Linked DNA regions of Chlamydomonas reinhardtii. Each later gene encodes a partner of the first gene's protein in a complex. Links are inferred from orthologs where the notes say so. Each region holds a gene or a part of one and is shown in the gene's direction. Other genes may lie near its edges.

Region 1 (3,392 bases):
AGGAGGGGGGAAAGGGAGGGAGGACGGGATGTGGGGCTCGGGATAAGGAGGATCGTACCCGAAGGCGTGGGTTGGGTTAAGGTTGGCCCCAGCCGCTTCGGCGACGCGTTCCTGCGCAGCCGCCAGTCGCCTGCTTGCCTCCTGCCGTGCCGTGCCTGACCCGGCCCATCCCGCCGCCCCGCGCTCGCGCCGCTGCACAGGAGAAGGAGAAGGCCCGCAAGGCGGCGGAGGACAAGGAGCGCGAGGAGCGGGAAAAGAAGGAGCGCGAGAAGGCGGCGGCGCAGAAGGGCGGCAAGAAGCCGGCGGCAGCCAGCAAGAGGTGCGGACTCAGGGCCGTGCGGGCTGCCTAGTAGGCTGGGGCTGCGGCTGGGCCGGCACGCTCTCGGGCACGCAGATCAGGAGTACTGCGCGACTGCTGGTGCTAGGCCCGTGAACACGCCTTTGCTTCGCCTGTCTTGTCACACGCTCACGCACGCACATGAAAGCGGTCACTTACTAGACCCTTCTCATGCGGCCGCCAGGGAGCCCGACCCCGACCCGGAGGGCGCCAAGCTGGCGGCGGTGGCGGACCCGCTGGCGGAGGCGGCCAAGCTGGTGGAGATGCTGGTGAGCCAGCGCAGGCGAGGGATGGCGCGGCGGAGGCAGGCTGGTGAAGCCCCCTGGGTTGCTGGGAAGCTGGGAAAGCGGTGCATTTCGGGGATGGGGACTGCTGTCGAGCGCCGCTGCGTTGTCAAAGCATAGGCCACACTCTCCTCCTCGCCCTTTTGCATTGGGTTCGGTTCATTTCGGGCTGGTATCTACAACCCCAGCCCTTCCTGCCTGGTAGAAAACGCTACCGGCAGCGCCCGCACGGAGGAAGCATGCAGGCTGCTCACTTTTTCCTGCCCTCTCGTTTTTCCTGCTGCCCTCGCGGCCGGCTGCTCCTGCTCCTGCTCAGGTCAAGCACGCGGGCAGCCGGCTGTCCAGCCACGTGTTGGCGGCGGAGGTGGCGCTGCGGCGGGGGCGGCAGGTGGTGGCGCTGGCGGCGCTGCGCAACGCGGCGGCCACGGCGGAGGCCAAGGCGGCGGGCGGCGCCGACCACCCGGAGGTGCACGCGCTGCTGGTGCGGCTGGCGCAGGCATGTGAGTGATGCCGAGGCTGGCAGTATGGCAGGCGCGGGCGTTGTTTGCGTGCTTGTGCTGGTCGTGGTGGGACAGGCGCCAGGGATGGCGGGTGATTGCTTGCAGCCGATGTGGGACGGGTGGATGTGGGACCTACCTGGTGCGGCTGGTTGCTCGCCATCGCTCCGTGTTTGTGTCCCGCAACGTGTCAAGTCCCTGATGCACGCATACGTGTTGCATGTTCGTCAAGCACTTCAACTCACGCACGTCCGATCCCGCCCACACAGTCGCGGCCTCGCCGCCGGAGAACGAGGTGGTCAAGGCCGTGGTGGGCGCGGGCCTGGCTGAACTCCTGGGCGCGGGCGTCACACCGGCGGCGTTTGCGGGGCGCTGGCGGGCGGCGCACGGCACCAAGAGCCTGGACCACCGGCTTGCGGCGGCGCGCGCCATGGTGGCGCTGGCGGAGACGGGGGGCAGCGCGCCGTCGGCGGCGGCGCGGACGGCGGCGGCGGCGCACGTGGCGGCGGGCGCGGCGGAGTACGGGTGCGTTTGCGTGTGCTGCGAGGCCTGCACCTCTCGCGTGCGTATTGGCCCCTGCGTAGCCTCGTTGCGTTGGTTGGCGCACGCTGGCTACAGCCCCTTGTTCCCGCTGCTCGCTTTTTACTTCTTCCCGTGCTGTGTTGGCCATGTCCGTTTTTCCCTTCGCACCATCGCTTCTGCTCCGTGCTCGCTTCCCCTTTGCGCAGGCCGGCCTCCCGGCCGCTGCACGCGCAGTGCGTAGAGGTGCACCGCCTGCTGCGGGACGAGTGGGGCGTGGCCGAGGCGGCGGACAAATGGCGGGCGGGCTGCGCTGCGGCGTACCCGCACTCGCGCTACTTCGGCGGGTCAAAACAAATGGCGCTGGACCCCAGCTATGACTTTGAGAACATGCGGGAGGCGTTCGGCAAGCTATCATTCTGAGCAGCCGGACCGGGAGCTGCAACATGAGCAGCAGCGGGTATGGCTGGCTGTAGGAGCAGGAGCAGGCGGCTGTAGCAGCAGCAGGAGTGCGGGTTGTAGCACGGTCGGGCTGCGGGACTCGGGTGTGTTAGAGAGCACATGAGAATAGTGTGTGGGCGTGTGGGTGATTGGACGCAGGGTGGGCGGGGTGCTGAGCGGGACGGCAGCGGGGCGGACTTGGCTTGCGGTTGACACCTGCGGAGGGTTGACCTCTGCGAATGGGGAGTGGACGGGGTTGATTTACAGCAATTCTGCGACCAGCTAGGCTTTGCGACCAGATAGGCGCATCTGTGCAGTGTGCTTACGGACGAAACAGTTAGCTCGGCATGTGCGGCGGCTGCGGCTGCAACAAAGACTGTCACGGTGCCGATGTCGGACCGCGCAGCCAGCCCTGTGTGGCTTTGCGAAGCGCTGGCGGTGGCTTTGAAGCGTGCGGCCCTCAAAATGCACTGGTGCGCATTCATCTCTGGCATATCAGGGACACGGACGCAACCGGAGCGGGCAGGCATTACCCATCCGGGCAGCGCCGCGGTCCATCGACTTGGGCAGGAACGCGAAGTGCCACAAGCGGCACCCGCCCTTGCGTGTAAGAACGCGCTCTAACATGCATAGTTGCAGCCTTGCAGCAGTCACCGGACTGCGGTGAAACGAAGCGAACGTCGGCAGATTGCAGGGGAAAAGGCAAGGCCACGTCACGATGCCAATCTAATACTGGTGGCTCGGACGCCGGACATAGCCCGGCACTTGTACGCTGCAGCCCACCACGCGTACCGGTAATCCAGCCCTGACAGCGATGCGTGGTGATTGGCACTATGCCTGGCACCTCGCTATCCTCCGAAATTGACAGAGACGGATCAAGCCATGGGGGGGGGGGGGAGAGCCGTTCAAGGAGAAGGGAGGGGGGGGACAACCCCGGCATCTCAGAACTCCAAAACAGCATTCACCTTACACTAAGATTGACACTTACGGTACGTTGCCGGCGCGCACACTGCTCCCTGCCAGGTACAGAGTAAGACGGGAATGACTCATTGACTTGCCCACTTGTGTGCAAGCAATCGCACGCCAACGGCACCACCTAGTCATGGCGCCCACACGCCCGTCGCGCGCACACACCCATCGCTGCTAACCTCAACCTCACCGCTCTCTTACGCCGGCAAAGCTGCCGACTGCAAACTGCTATCAGCAGCACGCCACCACTCGTGCTCTGACTCTCTAGAGTCCAAGGCTTTCCTGGAGCTCAGTCACATAAGCCCGGCTAGCCTATTGCTGCTAAAAAGCGACAATTTAGACCCG
Region 2 (4,345 bases), on another chromosome or scaffold:
CTGCTGCTGCGAGTGCACCGAGTGCGCGGGGTGCGCCGAAGGCCCGGCGGCGGCGGCGCCTCCAAACCCAGCAGCCCCTGCCCCTGCTGCTGCTGCTGCTGCTGCTGATAGGAACCCAGTGGGGCTGGTGCATTCGGAGCCGGAGCGGGAAGCGGCGCTGGAGCCGCCGCCGCCGCCGCCGTGACGCACGTGGGCGTCAGACCCGCCATACGCCACGTGTCGCAGCACATCGTACTGCCGCTTGAGCCCCACGCCCTGTACGGCAGGTGGCGTACGGCAGGACACGGCGTGTGTCATCACTGCCGCCCGTCCCCGCGCCGAAGGTCCCACACTGCCCTCCTTGCGATACGGCAAACATCGTGGCTTTGCAAGTCGTACTGCATGGAGCGTCTTAGCTGGCTGTCTTTGCTACCTGGCTCTTGCTGCCGCGCACACAACACACACACACACACACACACACACACAGCAGTACACACACACACACACACACACACACAACACACACACACAACACACACACACACACACACACGCACCTGCACCGGCAGACCGAAGTCCGCCAAGATGCGTCGCTGCCAGGCGGGGTCGGCTGCAGCAGCAGTAGCAGCAGAAGTAGCAGTAGCAGGCAGCCGTTCAGGCATGCTTTCAGGCAGGTATCAGGCAGGTATCAAGCAGGTCTCAGGCAGGCAATTACAGATTCACCACGTCAAGCAAGCCACAGGCATGCAGACGCAACCAGGAATGGGTTTTCATCGGTTTGGTTCGGTTTGGGGTGGGGTGGGGGGGCAGGCGCAGGGGCAGGGCTGTGACAGCACGATTCGCAGCAACGGCGGTTCCTGGCGCGGGTGACACTGTGACAGGTTCTCAACCCAGCCCACCTGAGTCCACAATTGCTTTCAGGCGCTTGCAGGTGCCAGCCAGCCCTAAGAGCTCCTGCAACGCCACGGCGAGAGAGGCCACATACCCCCGTGTCAGCAGCAGGCCCCCAAGAACCCTGGGCAAGTGGGGCCCGCAGATTCGCTATTTCCGTGTGCATCGCGAAAAGCTTTGCGTTTCTGTCGCGAAACCCGCATGCAGGCTGCGGAGAAAGCAAAGCTGGATTTCGGTACGCCCCAGCGCCGAAACGACACCCCGCCCACCCCCGCGGCGAGCAAAGGCACCTACTCGCACAGACTCCGTGCATGACGCTATGTGCTGCAAACATAGGTCGTCCAGTGCGTCGATGTTGGAGATGGAGTAGTTTCCAGCCTCCTCGTCTACCTCCATGGCTTTGCTGCTTTATGTATATGTCTTGATGACAAACTGTATTACAATGAGAAAAAGCTCAGCATAGCACGCAGAATAGCATGGGGAGGGCGTCTGCATCAAACCTTCCGATTGCGTTGAATCCCTCAGTCTCGTGGGACACCTTCGCTACAAACCATACTTCCCTGTATACATTTGAAACTTCGTCCAGTCTAGTAACCTGCCCGCCCTTCAAGCCGCCGCGCTTTCGTGCTGTGCCCACACAATACAAGGTTTTCGTCTCGTTAATTGTACAAATACAAAACTCAAAGCTGCTGGCCTTTCACGCGTCCTGATCGGGTTGTCGATCGCCCCGAGGAAAAATGGTCTGCATTCGCCCAGCAACGATTGACGACCTAATGCAGATGCAGCGGTGCAACCTGCTGTGGTGAGTCTGCGTCGGTTCATCCGGGGACCAGCGCGGCTGGGCCGCCGTGTGGCAGGCGCAGCCGCTGACACGGCCATGCCATGTTGGACACCCTTCTTAACCCCACGCCCCAATTGCCTCCTGCTGTGTCCCGCAGTCTACCTGAGAACTACCAGCTGAAGGTAAGAGCTGCCTTGGAGGCTCTTCTGCGGGAGGCCGGTGTAATTAAGCACAGCGCTGTTGGGGGCTGTGCAAGGGACGGCACCCTATGCCCACACGTGTAGAACGCCGAGACTTGGTGGGGCGTGCTCGCAGCAGCGAGACTCCTGTGCGCCTACGCACGAGGCAGGAGGCAGCACAACCCTCTATGAAACATCCATGGGACCTCACGATGAGACCTCTCGATGAGACCTCCATGGGGGGCTGGCAGACAGCTGTGTATCAATCAGCCCAGGGCGCGGTTGCACCCTCAGTGCGTTAGCCAGTCGGCCTCAGCCCCAGTGGGTTAACACGTAACAGGGCATGCAGCCTGCAGCTCAGCCCTCAGAGTTGATGACGCCGCGCTAGCCCCACGCGCGCTACAAAGGCCAGTGGTGGAGAGAGGAGCAGGCGGGAGGGGAGGGGAATGCCGAATGCGGCTGCCTGCGACACCTCACCTCACCCCTCGTTCCACCTCCCCTTCCACCTCCCCTTCCACCTCCCCTTCCACCTCCCCCCCACGCCTACTTCCGCCGCCTCCGCCGCCTGCCTCACCTCCCCCACTCCCCCTCCAACTCGCCTGCAGTACTACCTGTACCACATCCTGTCCTGGCCCCAGCTGCTGCAAGTGGCGGAGGACTACGACGGCAAGATTGTGGGATACGTGCTGGCCAAGATGTGAGTGACAGGAGGAGGATACGAGCATAAGGGGAAGGGGAGATACGTGCTGTCCAAAGATCTGAGTGACAGGCGGAGGATACGAGCATAAGGGGGAGGGGAGATACGTGCTGGCCAAAGATCTGAGCAGTGGCAGCACAGGGGTGCTGGGGGCTACAGGAACTGGGAACTGGAAATGCTACGTTACGCGACACGCCTCACCAACCCCACCAACCCCACCAAACGCAGCAAGCTCACCACCCCATCCCCGCCACCACCCCACCCCCACCACTTCCTTAACTAATCATGAATGTAACCCCCCACCCCCACCCGACTGCCCCCCCGCCCTCCACCCCAGGGAGGAGGAGGCCAGCGAGCAGCACGGACACATCACCTCGGTGGCGGTGGCGCGCACGCACCGCAAACTTGGCCTGGCCACAAAGCTCATGAGCTCCACGCGTGAGTGCGAGCCGTGGGGAGGGAGGGGAGGTGTTGGCGGGGCGAGCGAGGGGCGAGGCTGCGGGGCTGGGGCCGAGGCGGAGGGGGGGCGAGTTTATTCCTTTGACTGGGAAGGGTGTCGGCACAACATCCCCTGTAGTGGCTCCCTCACCCGCCGCTGTCTCTCCCGCCCCCCCTCTGCCTGCAGACAAGGCCATGGAGGAGGTGTTCGGCGCGCAGTACGTGTCGCTGCACGTGCGCGTCACCAACAAGGTGGCCGTGCACCTGTACACGCAGACCCTGGGCTACCAGTGAGTGGGCTGGCTGGCGGGCGTGGTGTGTGTGGGGCTGGCTGAGTGCGTGTGCGTGTGTGTGTATGCGCGTGTGTGTGTGTGTGTGTGTGTCGCGGTGAAGAGGCGGGGTGTCCGGGTCGATGTCGAGGATCGGCATCGGGGGTCGCGGCCTCCAGTCCAAGCCCAAGTAGCCGAGATCCGGAACCCGAAGCCGACGGGGAGGACGTCTTCCGTGTCCAAGTCAAAACCCCCGCCCCGCAAATGCAAACTCAACAGGATCTACGACATCGAGGGCAAGTACTACGCCGACGGTGAGGACGCCTACGAGATGCGCAAGTACTTTGGCCCTGCGCCGCCCGCCCTGGCCAAGAAGGCCGCGGCGCTCACGGCGCAGGCCACCGGACTGCCCGCGCCCACAGCCGCCAGCAGCTGAGCAGCTGAGAGGCAGCTGAGAAGCGGCTGAAAGGCGGCTGAGAAGCGGCTGAGAGGCGGCTGAGAGGCGGCTGAGAGGCGGCTGAGAGGCGGCTGAGAGGCGGTTGAGCGGTTGAGCAGCGCGGGAAATGGGGCCCGGGGCCGCGGCGGCCGCCGCAAGCAGCTGAGCGGCGGTGCGGCTGAGCGGCGGCACCGGAAGCTGAGCGGCTGTGGGGCGGCAAAGCACGGGGGCGTGCACGGGAGTGTGTGGCGTGGGGGTGCGGTGTATAGGGGAGTGGATCGTGGGAGTGGATCGTGGGAGTGAATGGAGAGGGGGGAATTCGGGGAAATGACCTCCTGCCGGGGGCCGGCGCCGGGTGACGGGCGCTACGATACGGCATCGCTGCCTGGCAGTGGCAGCGTGACTCGGCATTGCAGATTTGCAGTCAGGCCTGCACAATGATGTTGGGGCAGAGTGACGGATTACGCGAGCGAAAGCGTGGGTTAGACTTTAGAGACGACATGCGTGAGTGTGAGTGTGTGCTGGAGCGGCGTGCAGGCTGGGCAGTTGGCACTTGGCAGAGAGGCAGCATGGGGTGCTGGAATGGCGACAGAGTTTGCAGCATGGGGATGAGGGTGGGGGCAGGGAAGTGGCCAAGTGCGACAGAGGAGGAGGCGCCTTGCACGGCTCTGCACG

Evidence for each region.
Region 2: CHLRE_06g278225v5 (region 1) and CHLRE_08g364450v5 share a complex: the UniProt entries of both Arabidopsis thaliana proteins name them as parts of the natA complex. The link is inferred for Chlamydomonas reinhardtii from reciprocal best matches to the Arabidopsis thaliana genes EMB2753 and AT5G13780.

The regions. Positions count from the first base shown.
Region 1 is NC_057009.1:4,133,710-4,137,101, forward strand, and holds the end of CHLRE_06g278225v5 (uncharacterized protein), read left to right. Parts: intron 1-200; coding exon 201-319; intron 320-521; coding exon 522-606; intron 607-937; coding exon 938-1,121; intron 1,122-1,387; coding exon 1,388-1,643; intron 1,644-1,846; coding exon 1,847-2,060; 3' UTR 2,061-2,701; downstream 2,702-3,392. UniProt on the Arabidopsis thaliana protein: Auxiliary subunit of the NatA N-alpha-acetyltransferase complex. Required for male gametocyte development, embryogenesis, suspensor development and the formation of the quiescent center (QC) in the root meristem.
Region 2 is NC_057011.1:1,440,697-1,445,041, reverse strand, and holds the start of CHLRE_08g364450v5 (uncharacterized protein), read left to right. Parts: upstream 1-1,412; 5' UTR 1,413-1,607; coding exon 1,608-1,672; intron 1,673-1,808; coding exon 1,809-1,833; intron 1,834-2,435; coding exon 2,436-2,527; intron 2,528-2,864; coding exon 2,865-2,965; intron 2,966-3,152; coding exon 3,153-3,255; intron 3,256-3,513; coding exon 3,514-3,670; 3' UTR 3,671-4,345. Other genes in the region: CHLRE_08g364501v5 (uncharacterized protein), read right to left, coding at 1-255, 537-589, 879-933, 1,165-1,266. UniProt on the Arabidopsis thaliana protein: Catalytic subunit of the NatA N-alpha-acetyltransferase complex. Required for male gametocyte development, embryogenesis, suspensor development and the formation of the quiescent center (QC) in the root meristem.